Linked DNA regions of Drosophila melanogaster. The protein of the gene in region 2 purifies or fractionates together with the protein of the main gene of each other region. This does not show direct contact. Each region holds a gene or a part of one and is shown on either strand. Other genes may lie near its edges.

Evidence for each region.
Region 1: the proteins of lin-52 (region 2) and mip120 purify together in Drosophila melanogaster (affinity purification with western blotting; 2 studies listed by BioGRID, with this or other methods). This does not show direct contact.

What each region holds. Positions count from the first base shown.
Region 1 is NT_033778.4:13,508,049-13,515,088, forward strand, and holds mip120 (Myb-interacting protein 120), read left to right. Parts: upstream 1-1,569; 5' UTR 1,570-1,648; coding exon 1,649-1,679; intron 1,680-1,740; coding exon 1,741-3,188; intron 3,189-3,246; coding exon 3,247-4,160; intron 4,161-4,248; coding exon 4,249-4,388; intron 4,389-4,455; coding exon 4,456-4,781; 3' UTR 4,782-5,064; downstream 5,065-7,040. Other genes in the region: mEFTu1 (mitochondrial translation elongation factor Tu 1), read left to right, coding at 1-1,165. UniProt on the Drosophila melanogaster protein: Component of the DREAM complex, a multiprotein complex that can both act as a transcription activator or repressor depending on the context. In follicle cells, the complex plays a central role in the site-specific DNA replication at the chorion loci.
Region 2 is NC_004354.4:5,751,635-5,758,173, reverse strand, and holds lin-52 (lin-52), read left to right. Parts: upstream 1-3,215; 5' UTR 3,216-3,289; coding exon 3,290-3,329; intron 3,330-3,384; coding exon 3,385-3,558; intron 3,559-3,632; coding exon 3,633-3,737; intron 3,738-3,817; coding exon 3,818-3,972; 3' UTR 3,973-4,525; downstream 4,526-6,539. Other genes in the region: CG15771 (uncharacterized protein), read right to left, coding at 1-312, 1,970-2,119; CG15772 (uncharacterized protein), read right to left, coding at 4,526-5,305.

The DNA of each region.
Region 1 (7,040 bases), on a different chromosome or scaffold from region 2:
TACCAAGGTCCTGGCCGACAAGCAGCTGGCCGAGAGCAAGAAGTACAATGAAATCGACAATGCGCCCGAGGAGAAGGCTCGTGGTATTACCATCAATGTAGCCCACGTGGAGTACCAGACGGAGACGCGTCACTACGGCCACACAGATTGTCCGGGACATGCCGATTATATTAAGAACATGATCACCGGCACAGCCCAGATGGATGGCGCCATTCTCGTTGTGGCCGCCACCGATGGCGCCATGCCCCAAACTCGCGAGCATATGCTGCTAGCCAAGCAGATCGGCATTGATCACATCGTGGTGTTCATCAACAAGGTGGACGCCGCCGATGAGGAGATGGTCGACCTGGTGGAGATGGAGATCCGAGAGCTGCTTACCGAGATGGGCTATGATGGTGACAAGATCCCTGTGGTAAAGGGCTCGGCGCTGTGCGCCCTCGAGGACAAGAGTCCCGAGATCGGCAAGGAGGCGATCCTGAAACTGCTCCAGGAGGTGGATAGCTTCATCCCCACGCCTGTGCGCGAGCTGGACAAGCCCTTCCTGCTGCCTGTTGAGAATGTGTATTCGATTCCCGGACGCGGCACCGTCGTCACTGGTCGCCTGGAGCGCGGAGTGGTCAAGAAGGGCATGGAGTGCGAGTTCGTGGGCTATAACAAGGTGCTGAAGTCGACGGTGACGGGCGTGGAGATGTTCCACCAGATTCTGGAGGAGGCGCAAGCCGGTGATCAGCTGGGAGCTCTGGTGCGCGGCGTTAAGCGAGATGACATCAAGCGCGGCATGGTCATGTGCAAGCCGGGCAGTGTGAAGGCACTCGATCAGCTGGAGGCCCAGGTGTACATCCTGTCCAAGGATGAAGGCGGTCGCACAAAGCCCTTCATGTCCTTCATCCAACTGCAGATGTTCTCCCGCACCTGGGACTGTGCCGTGCAGGTGCAGATTCCCGATAAGGAGATGGTCATGCCCGGCGAAGACACCAAGCTCATTCTGCGCCTCATCCGGCCAATGGTCCTGGAGCAGGGACAACGCTTCACGCTGCGTGACGGAAACCTGACCCTGGGCACTGGTGTCGTCACCAGCACTCTGCCCCCATTGACTGAATCGCAGCGATCCGAGTTGACGGAGGGCAAGAAGGCGCGCGAGAAGAAGGTGGCGGCTAAGAAGTAGATCCCCGGAACGCCGTCAGTCATTAACTAAAATCATATTCTTAAGCGATTTTTATGCATATTGTATAAGTTGTTGGCGCTCCAATCACAATCGAGTAAAATATAAACAAACACCTATGGACAACGAAGTTTTAAAACTTGGAATATTAGTAGGGATCTTAAAATTGATTTAAAATAGTACGGCTTTTAAGTATTACTGTTGTTGCCTGACATTTCGGCATTTCAAAGGACTATTTGTTATATAAAGTTATGTAAGTAAGCATTGATCATTGATAAAGGGCAATATTTAATTTAGGCGCCACTCATCGATTGCTTATCGCTCTATGTTAACGGCATCCGAAATAGAGTGGTATCGAAATGGAGCCGATAAAATCAAACAAGGCCGATAATAACCTGACTACGACATTTTACAACACTGCTGCAACCGCCTTGAACGCAGCTGATGATAAAGAACATTTTGAAATTGATTTGAAAATTGGCAAAAATGAGTACCTACCGCGTAGACTACTTGACCGGTAGATTCAAGCACCGTAAACGTTTGTTTGCAAAGTAATTAATAACTTATTTTGTCCGCAGATTCCCTAGACGACACGGAACCATTGCCGGAGCTGAGTTTTGAAGACTTTTTGGAGCCAACGTCGGAGAAGAGTTCCCAGCACATGGAAATCGAAGCTCTGGACTCAGAGGAAGACAATATCGGCGGTGAAGATCTGGCCGATCCGGCCAACGATTCCCTGAACACGCCGCAGTTTAAGAAGAACGTGGTCCACATACTGGAGGACAAGAGGTTAAACTCGTCCGGACTAACCGTTTTGAAGTCGCACGCCATTAAGATGGTGACTGCCGGAGGTACTCCTCCGGCCAAGGCGCAAGTTACAGACGTAAAGATACTAAACAAATTGAAACCAATACCCAGCAGTACGCTAAAGATCGGTAGCACGACCATAGCGACCAAATCCACACCGGGCAGCATAACCAAGACTTTGGGCAACTTGACCCAGATTAGGACGAAAGATGGCCAAGTCATCTTTGTCCAGAAGTCTGTTCCTGGAACACAAAGCAGCACTGCGGTGACAGGGTCACCAAGCGGTGGAATAAGACGCCTCGTGGCGCCTTCTGGTATCCAGAAGGCAGTGCTTTCTAAGGGCGTGACCATGGCAAGCACGGGTCTGGTCAAGGCGGCTGTTCCTGCCAAAGCAAGCACCTCGGTACCCGGCTCAGCCATAACCTTAAAGGGCATCCAACCGCTGGCCGGAGGCACTGCGAAGGCGTCGACTTCCAGCACGACGGCAACCACATCCCCATCTTTGGCACAGCCCAACAAAATTCAGGTGGTGCGCACTGCCGATGGCAAAATTATCAAGATCAATCAGGCTGGTCCCTCACTGCTGGTGAACGCCAAACAGGGAACTGGGACCACAGTCACACCAGGAGGTTCTGCCGCCACTTCTGTCAAACTATCTCCCTCCACGGGAAATGTGGTGCTCAACAAGCCCGTTGGCCAGGTAGTGGTGAGAACAGAAACTCCTGTAAAAACGGCGACGGGCTCCGTTGCCAGTGCATCCGCAACACCGGGCAAGATGTTGGTTCAAAGTGGCGGCAAACAGATTCTTGTATCCAACAAGAACATCATTAAGCTGTCGCCGAATGCGAGTGCCACCAGTTCGACAACCCACACGACGGGCGGACAGACACCTTCCACCTCGAGCGGATTGCACGCTATTCAGCTGCCTGGCAAGGGAGGAATACAATATGTACGTGTCCTGAACAACAATAAGAGTGCCGCCGGAACAAGTGCAACAGCCTCAATCCCGAAAACAGTGCAAACTCAGAAGATCACTGTGGTGCGGCCACCGGCTGCTACTGGTGTTCCTGCCACATCTACTACAACATCCGCAGCAGCAGCTTCACCTGCAGCCGCATCGAAGGCAAACCTTGCCATGGGCAACACTAACAAGATTGTAATGCGATCAATGGGTGGCAGCATTGTGCCGCTGCCTTCCGTGCAGACGTTGGTCTCAAAGGTTGGTACTTGTGTTGGTACAAATTTATTTCATTCTAACTCAATTTCCATCTTTAAAGCGTGCGCTGGGCGCCATCTCCAACGCTTCAAAACCAGCCAGTGCGGCGAGCAGCAGCGCCACGCCGAGTGCCAGCCAGGAGTTGCCACGCAAACACCGTCTTACTGATCTCAATGTGCAGCTAAAGCAATCGGCCTCGGTCAGCAGTGAAGCTAGCGACAGCAGCGATGCGGGTCCTGAGGCCAAAAAGCCGCGTTACGTTATTACCATGCAGCAAGGATCACAGAAGGCAGCTTCCCAGCCAGTTCAGAAACTAATTAATCGGACAGCGAATGTACAGCGTGTGGTGTCTAGCAGTACAAGTCCCAGTTCCAACTCCACAAAGAAAATCTACAACTATGTTCAACCGACTGGAAGCAATGGGGCCAAGTACATGATCTGTAACTCGGGTGTGCCCCAATCATCGACGAGTGCCATGCGACGGGGATACACTGGATATGTGGAAAACAAGACGCGACGCCCGCCACCCATTTCCCCGCAACAGCACCGCTTTAAGCAGATGGGTCCCCAGCAGCAGTCCAAGCACCAGCAACTTCAAGCGCAGGCCAAGCAACGGATTAGACAGCAGCAACTGCCTACCGAACAATCGACGCCGATCAAGGTCGAGCCAAAGTTGCCGACACTGCCTCCGGGGGTGAAGGCCAATGTACCTGCCAAGCCGCTCTTTGAAGTCCTAAAACCTCCAGCAACCGCGGCAGCAGCCGGAGCCGTCGATCCATTGGGCGGCATGACTTCGCGGCGAAAGCACTGCAACTGCAGCAAGTCGCAGTGTCTAAAGCTTTACTGCGATTGCTTTGCAAACGGCGAGTTTTGTCAGGACTGCACCTGCAAGGATTGCTTTAACAATCTGGACTACGAAGTGGAGCGGGAGCGTGCTATTCGCAGCTGCCTCGATCGTAACCCCAGCGCCTTTAAGTAAGTTTATTTGAAAGGAAAAGCTTATGAGGTCTATCCTATGTTTCTAAAGATGCTAATCACAACTACTTTTTTTTTTTTTAAACAGACCCAAAATTACGGCACCCAATTCAGGTGATATGCGTCTGCATAACAAAGGTTGCAACTGCAAAAGATCGGGCTGCCTCAAGAACTATTGTGAGTGCTATGAGGCAAAGATTCCCTGCTCCAGCATATGTAAATGCGTTGGTAAGTGAACTGATAAATCTGTTTTATCTATGATCAAACTAACTGAATCAATCAACTTATTATTTAGGGTGTCGAAACATGGAAGACCGTCCGGACGTGGACATGGACTCTCTGGACGGATTGATGGGTGTCGAGGGTCAGAAAAAGGACAAAGCTAAAAACAAGCAATTGAACGAGAATCGCGCAAATATATATTTTACGGACGATGTCATTGAGGCGACCATCATGTGCATGATATCGCGGATTGTGATGCACGAGAAACAGAATGTGGCCGTGGAGGACATGGAGCGCGAGGTTATGGAGGAAATGGGCGAAAGTCTGACACAGATCATCGCTTTTGCCAAGGAAAAGCAAGAAACCTCTCAGATAGACGAGTCCAAGCCTTCTTCTTAGGCATGCAAATATAGTCACACATTAATTAGTTTATAAGTTCAAAGAGTTCTTGACCTTTTCTCAATCATATTCTAATTTTGGCTTTCTAAAAGTTGACCTTAAAGTAAAGTGTTTACCCTATTTAAATAATTTAAACACAAAATGTATATATCATACATAGCAAATTTCAGATATAAGGCTATTTTAATTTTTGGCCGAGCATTGTAATTGTGTTGTAAACTTTTCCCTTGGATTGAATGTAAATAATTTAGATACCTAATAAAGTTTAATGACCATTGAACACAAATGAAAAGAGACGTTGTGTTGTTTTGTAGCTTGTTTATTCACCAACAACTTCAGTTACATATTTGTATTTTGCATTTGCATTGTTTCAAATTTATTGATGGGCGAGTATATTAAACTCAACGCAATTTAGTTTGGTTTTTCACAATATCGGTATCAGCTTAGTTAGCAATATCTCTATAAAATAAACACATGTCGAATGACTACAGTATAGGTAATGCATATATTAGTTGATTGTATTGATAGTAGGTATTTAGTTTTGTATATATGTAGTTTTTTTTGTTTAAGTATAGTTATATATTCTACTTGGTCACCATTGGTATGTATAAATAGCATATAAGTATGTTTGTGTTCTGGTTTCTCCCGGTTCTCACCCTATAAACATGGCATGGCATGACATGAGTACATATGTGTGTATGTATGTAGTTTCAAGGTTTGAGTAAAAATGTGATAATCGTTTAAGGACTATAGTACATATACGTGGTTAGTAATGCTAATATATATATATATATATATGCCCTGTTATACATATTTTTCATACACTGTTTTGACTAATATGCTCGCGCTAAACTATACGTTTTATTTGCGGTCATTCGAATACGAACTTTTTCGAAGAGAGAGTATGTGTGTGCGATTATCTTAAATAGCAAATACATACAGTAAACGTTGAGTATATCGATTTAAGGATAGTTTTGAATATTTGAATACTGTGCACAAAACGCTTTGGTTAGTTGCATTAGCATTGTTTGTTTGTTTGACCCCATACCAGCTTTTTTTTCTTGTGAATTGTTAGTTACGTAACACTTATGCAACATTTGAACATAGTTAGGCAACAATAACGATTTGATTACGCATAATATATATGTATTTGTATTGAGAGTATGCTGAACTATTCAGTTAGAAGCTATATTGTCTAATTCACACGTTTATATTGAATGCTGGGCCCCCAGAAGGGGAGCTAAAGCATAAACTTACACAACAACTTTATGAAAACCGAACAAAACCATTTGCTAAATATCGTATATGTACGTTGGATTTGCATACCCTGTACAATGTCTTTTTCTTAGGTTGTCGTAATATTGTATATGCAATCATTGAAGAGTACCTTAATTGTTAAACGCGTGTTGCATGATTGAATTCGGCAATTCTTCAAAGCGTGAAAAGTCATAACGAACACAGCGTAGAATTTATGGATATTAGTTGAGTAATTCATCTTTCACAACAATAGAACAACGATGATAATCAGCAAGTATTTCAGCTATTCGTATATACAGTTTGTCAATATAACCTCATTGTATACCTGCGATTAACTACATTTTGTCGGCTTTCTTTAAACTTTTTCGACCATTACAGAGCTATAGTTTACTTTACACTACTTTCGATTAGAATTGCTGGGACTATATGCGTTCAAAATAATGATTTTCATTGCCCAAATGAAGAGGAGCATTAGTTTTAAAGAGGATTTTACGTGGTGATCACAACGCTTAAGGACACTTGCAGCCATTCAAGTGCCTTGCGGCAATATCCTTACGATCCAATACGATCTGGTTAAGTGACGAAATAATGTCGGTAATATTTATGGGCTAAGATCCGAAACTTTGGGTGGGAAGAATTGAAGTTATAATCAGTGGGTACTAGTCTAAATTTTGTAGAACACCCAATTTAGCGACTTTATTCCTCACTAGATAATTGCAAACTAAAATACAACTTAAGACTTCTATTCAAAATTGTGAACGCTTATAGACCCTGTATATATTTTTAGATTCTATGGAATGGTGTTTATATTCCACGTACCATTTGGCACCAAAAGCCTATCAAATATTCCCTTTTTTTGTCAGATAACTTGTGTGTGTGCTAATGTGGGCAACAATTTTACAAGATTCAATGATTATATATATATATACTTTATTTAACTTTAACAACTTGAAATATGAAATTGATTTACTTAAGGAAGGTGGGCTTCCGTTGTGGAGTAGT
Region 2 (6,539 bases):
CTGAGCGTTCGACGGTCCGTTGGTGATGAGGGCCAGGGCATAGCCTGCCTGGCGCATCCGCAGCAGCAGCTGGACATAGTCCGCCGGAACGGCTAGGTAGCGATACCGCAACTTCAGCCACTTGGGATAGATCTGTTCCGCCAGGTGCTTGTGGCGCGCTGGAAGGGATTCGCGCCACAGGTGAGTGCGCCACGAGTCCAGCGATGTTTGCGAGTTATCGGGACAGCGGCGGAAGGCCTTTAGAAAGTTTTGGGTGGCCTGTGTTGCGTCATCTTTGCTGAACTGGTATTGGGTCTCCAGAAAATCAGCGAGCTAAGAACGAAATTGGAAAAGGGTTGGCAATTCGCATTATTATTGCGTTACATAAATTCAAAAATATACAAAATTGCGTAGATGTGATAGTGCCGTAAAAACCTCAACCGCGATAAAACTATAAATACGCTATGACGAATTAAAGACGAGATAAGTTAAGAACTTTCACGCAATAAGAAGTGAACAACCTGAAAGTAGAGTTAATATTAATAAAAGCGATTAGAAGCCTCAATACGTGCATAATCTTTTGCGAAACGCGGTAGAACGTAAATCAAAACTATTACGTCCATAAAGTTCTCAATTAAGCGTCAGATTGACCAATCCAATCATTCGATCGAATCCGAAGCCAATTGATTAATTCCAAAATTGTTATAGCATCGCCGTACTATCAGGGGATTGAACATCAAACTGCAATTGCCGCCGGTACACTTGCAGCATGAGTAATATATGAGAATATACTATATTTTATGATCGCAATGATAGCTTGGAAATTTCCACTCGCTATCTATTTTCCGGCCCAACCATCCGCATCTATTGAATCGTACTCAAATCAGGAAGCTAAGCTCACAAAAGTCATTTTGAATGCTAGGAATTTAAGTTGAAATCATTGCGATTAGTCACAAAAACTGTCATGAGTTCCGAAATATAAATGGGCGTGGCTTCGCTCGCTAAGAATTGAAAGCAACTGAATAAAGAAACCGTCTTATTTGGGGTCTTCAAACATTGAGCGTATTGAAACATGAACGTGATAATGAAGTTAACTATCTAAATTGGCGCAGCTTAAAAGATAACGATATAATCTGGAATGCAAGAGTGAGTAAATGTACGTGACATTGAACACATTTTCAAGAATACCTATTTATACCTTTCTCTCTTGAAGGGAAAATTCTAAAAACTTTAACCTTTTAAGATCGCAAATAGACTCATTTATTGTAATAAATAAAGTCAATGGCCTCTGAACGTTCAAACAAGTACATATTGCGAAGTGCTACCTATTATCATCAATTAACCTTTAGCTTCTTTGTGTGCCATTCACTTTATAAGAAGGTTATATTTCAAAAGAAACCATTGACGCGGGTTTCCAAAGTTTGTTGGTATGACGTTTCGTTCAACTTTTGTTAAGTGCAAGTTCCTCGATTTCCGACCTTTTTGCAATCGTTTGCAATCGATAATGCGCACCACGATAAGATCCTGTAAAGTGCCTTTTAACATTTCGAAAACCGAAGATTCCGAATTTCCAACGTAATGCCGATTATTTAGTGGGTTTTAGCCTTCTAAAGTGCATGTACCCGTGGTTATATTTAAGTTAAGACCTTGTCGAGTGCACTCTGAGTTTTTCTTTTTTGTTTTTTTTTTTTTTGTGGCTGGGGGATGTGAAGGGAAGGGAAAGGAAATCAATCGGAACGCAAATAAACAATCGAAATTTCGGGCGCGTGCTATCTGCCGAGCGTCCGGGTTTTTTCGACTACGTAACAACGGGCGGGCTGCAGTGGAAAATTTTCTAGCTGGGTCGCCCGCCTGCTGCGCACTTTCACCTCCCCCGCCCCGCCCCCCCACAAACACTACATGGAAAAGAAACGGAAGAAACGCCAACGGATTGGTGATTGGCAGAGGGGGCAGTGAGGCTGTCTGCCTTGGCTTGGTTAACAAAGCTCACCTTTCTGATCGCCTTGGAATCGCCGGCTCTGGTGGGAATCAACGTGTTGTCCAGGTCAAAGTAAAAGGCCCTGATTTTCGCACATGTCGCATCGAAATGTGAATGTGTGGCTGTCAATTGCTTGCCGCAATGGAATTTGCTAGCTGCCATGAGAGTCGTCGAGCGGAGGGGGGGATGGAGGGTCAGCGAGGGGTCACTGTCAGGAGTGGAGGGGTGGTAGCCGGTTGCTTGGTTAGATGGATGGATGCAAACGTAGAGATCCAAGAACAACTTTGGTGCAATTCAATCCGCCAGCGGATTTGCGCTTTGAAATTGGCGCCAAACGAAACGAAACGAAATGTACGAGCTGCACGACTGCAGCAGCACTGCAGTATTTTTCTATTTTCCTCGAGCGGACTGGCAAAAGTTTCCGCTTCTCGCGCGGCGAAGTTAAAACGGCAACTGAATGACAGCGACAAAAAAAATAATGAAACGGAACGGGAGCGGTCGCAGTAATGTCGAGAGACGGGGTAGCGGGGCGGCGGAACAGGTGAGCGCGTGTGTATGAGTGCTTGTTGACTGAGTGAGAGCGGAGCAGCGAATGAAAAACCGAAAGAAAGTGCGAGGGCGCATGGGAAAACAGTGGTGGCCAAAAGTCTGCGTATGCGAACAGTGCTACCAGGCGGCGGCGCCAATTGATAAAAACTTGATAAGATATTGTTATTCCTTAAGATTTTATATTATTATTAAGATGTTCTTGAATAAGTTTATTTCAATAACTGGTTAGACATCCGTGTTGTGTTGTTCTGGACAACTACTGCGCAGCACATGTGCTTTTTACGGGCACATATTTTTTGGCGCCACTGTGCGAAGTGTGCCAAGTGCCGTTTGCGCGCCAGAGCGAACGAGAGCAGGCGACCTAGCGCAGAGTTGTCTCTATGCGCCGTTAAACGACCGTGAGTGGAAAAGAGAGCACGATAGAGGTCGCGGAGAGGTTCGCGTTTCTCTGCTACGACGCCTGCTCTCCACTCTGAATTTAGTATAAGTCGAGGCACGCTCATTTCCTAATTGTTGTGCCATTTATTTTTAACTTCTATTAATAAAACCAGGAAAAGCAATAACAACAGTTCTTTGTTTACCAAAAATATCAGTTGTTTTATACTTCCTGGTGCTTTCTAGCACTGGCTTGGCGGTAAATCGATAGTATTCGATAGTGATTGTTGAAAGTGGCAACGCTATAGTTTTTGTTTAACGAGGTGGCAAGTGATTAGCCCACGGATTTTTTGGCATCTTTCCGTGTTTATTTTCAATAGTTTTTGGAGTTTTTCAACATTATCCGCGATGAGCAACGCAGAGACAACTACGGATTTGCTTTCTACAGGTGAGTAAATATTTAAATCACATGAAAGGCGCCATAAAACGAGGTTTTCTTGCAGAAACCATTCTAAAAGCGGCGGACGAGGAAGTGGAGAAGGCTTCAGCGTCCAGCAGTAGTACGTTATTGGCCGAAAAGGATGTCCCGGAGGTCAAGGAGCGGCCCATAACGCCGGAAGACGAGCTCATCTCCATGGAAACTCTGCGACCCTCACCTGTCCAATGGCCAGAGCGTTGTAAGTGTAGAAAACGTGAGCACGAAGAAATTGGCGCCATTTTTAACGCATATCTTTATTTTCGATTGCTCCAGTTCCCGGAATGGACGAGTTCCTCTCCATGAGCGACACGCCGATGTACACGCGCAGCACCAACTACACCAGCAATCTGACCGATGATGATATGGTTAAGATTAATGGTAAGTAGCTGCAAAGTCAATGAGATTTAAGAATAGTATATTAAAGAATAGCATATCCATTACCTACTTTTCTATTCCAGAACTAGCCCAGCTCCCTCCCGAGGATCTGATCGATAAAATAAAGTCAATGCATGATGAAATTTACCAGCTGGGACTGCGTGAGGCAATGGAGATGACTCGTGGGAAACTGCTGGGCATCTTTGACCGGGATCGCGCTCCTAAGCGGCAGCCATGAGGCTGGATGATCCGATCCCTAAGAATGGGACTGTCGAGGATCTCGTTGAATTCGCATTAGGAACATAGGTGTAGTTTCATAGTGTACATAGTGCTATTTTTATAGTGAGTAATGCGTGTTGTGAATGATTTATCGCTATTTTACAAAGATAAATAGGCAGGCGTTTGAACAGTAACTAACGTTTATTTCCATTAAAGCATTTTGGGTCCTACACGTCGCTTGTATTACAGATACATTTGAGGAGTCGGAGGAGAGATGAAGTTGACGGATTGGAGGGAAAGGAATGCAGAAGGATCTGGAGTTTTTGGAGAAGGCACAGTAGATTTCGCTATGCAGGGACATTAACGCAACAAATAACTCTGTCTATGTGGGATTGGATGGATCGGTTGCGCTCTAGTGCGTCCTATTAATACTTAACTAAATGCTTTCGTTCGGATTTATGCAGTAGCCTTCCCCACGATCCATCCCAATTTGGGAAAGTGTGTTGGTGCTGATGGTGTGCTTACATGCTGTTTCCCGTGAATATATATCCAGTAACGTGCATCAATTCCCATTACTCCTGCCACTGCATTCCGAATCGCTGCTCAAAGGTGATCCGGTTAAAGACGCCCGCATCGGCCAGCTGCAAGGGATCGGTGTAGTACGCAAAACGCCGTATATCCAGCATGGCCAGGTCGAACATTTGCTTCCAGCTGGTCAAATCTGTAACGCTCATGTGGATCGGCAGCTGGGGATCCGGTATATCGATGGCCGCCTGCAGACGGTCAAACGCCTCGGCAATTGGTCCCACCGATAGATTAACCCAGTACTCCGCTGGAAAGCGCTTGTTCTCACAAAACGGCGCTCCCTTGCGCATGATGAAGACCAGCATGAGTATCTCATAGCGCTCGGAGCTCTCATAGAAGCGCTTGGTTCGGGTCTTCTCCACGAAATCGATGAGAAGGATCAGGGGAGTGTAGTTCTGGAGGTGCATCAACAGCTCCCGGTCGGTCCAAAGGTAACGGCCGCCTTTGACGGTCAGCAGGCTCATGTTGCTGGCGAGTTGTTGATGCTGCTGCTGCTGCTGTTGCTGCTGCAGCTGGTGGTGTTGCTGCTGCTGAAGGTGTTGCTGTTGCTGCTGCTGATGTTGGTGTTGCTGCTGCTGTTGCTGCTGGTGTTGCTGGTGCTGCTGCTGCTGGTGTTGCTGCTGCTGGTGCTGCTGGTGTTGCTGCTGCTGATGCTGCTGGTGAATGCCGCCGGCGGATGGGGCTGGAGTTCCGGTGTTGGATGCCACCTGGCTGGGCATGGCGACCACAATGCCCGTCTGTCTCTGGCAGCCAATCTCCTCCACCATGTGCGCTGCAATGACGACAAAATGCATTTAAGGCAAGTGCCTAAACCAGGCCAAGGTCGCTGCGTTGGCCAAACACCCAGCCACCCCCTGCCCGCCCTCATTATTACTTGTTGCAAATAGCGAGCAGCGAAGAGCGAACGTGCAGCAAGTCAAAGGCTATGGCAATTGCAATTGCAATCAACTTACTGCGTGCCCCAATCAAAGCGGCAGAAATTATGTGTGTATTTATGAGGCGGATGGATCAGCGGGTCTGGATTTGGATCGGGGTACGAATGTGGCCCCCAAGAAGCAGCGGCCTATCTCCTCCGGCAGCTCTGCGTGTTTGCCGTGCGCCCTGGACGATTGTTGCCACGCGAGTGCCTTCCCAAGTCCGAAGTCGGAGCCACTCGGACCCGCATTCTCGTTGCACTCGGGCTCAGTTTTCTCGGTGACTCGGTCGCGCCAGCCGATGGGCATGTGTGGATGTGCATATAGGGACTCGGCCCGTTTGGCAATGAACTTATTGGATGCGTTCTGCGCTGGCTGCGGTTCGCAGATTTGTTACCAAGCGGGCTGCCAACTCTAAAATGTATGCCCCCCAAGCGGTAGATTAAAAAATAAATGTGAAAAACATATATGTAAGCAGTCTACAAAAAAGTAATTTTATGTTTTTAAGACAAGAACTTAAAAGTCTTAGCATTAGTCAATTTCCTATGATATCTTATCTATTTATCATGCTTAAAAATATATAAAATAAACATATATTGTACATATATATATATTATTATACAAATTGAGTTCATATTTAAATACGATATGTAAGATTTGAAGAGTTTTCGAGCACCCTGTTCTATTCGCCTTTGATTTGATTGAAAGCTTATTAAAGCTCATCAGCTTATCAGCAAACGAAATCGAAGTTTGATGCACATAAAAGTGGTATTAAATTTCCAATAAAGGTAGACTGTTGATTTAAGTCAACCTTGAGCGGTAAATAAATAAACAGATTGGGAAAACATAATGCACATAATGCAAACGGTTTTGAGTAACTGCATTTGCATTTAATATGACCCCACATTTTCCCACAAAGCTATAAACAATATCATGATTAACGTATAATTTTTAATAGTAATAAACATCCGTACAGAGAAATTCAAAATGCATGTACAACAATGCATAGCATTGTTAATAATATATATTCTTAGGAGAATTAGACGCGCCCCACTAAATACAATCAGAAAATTACAGCCAATGTCAA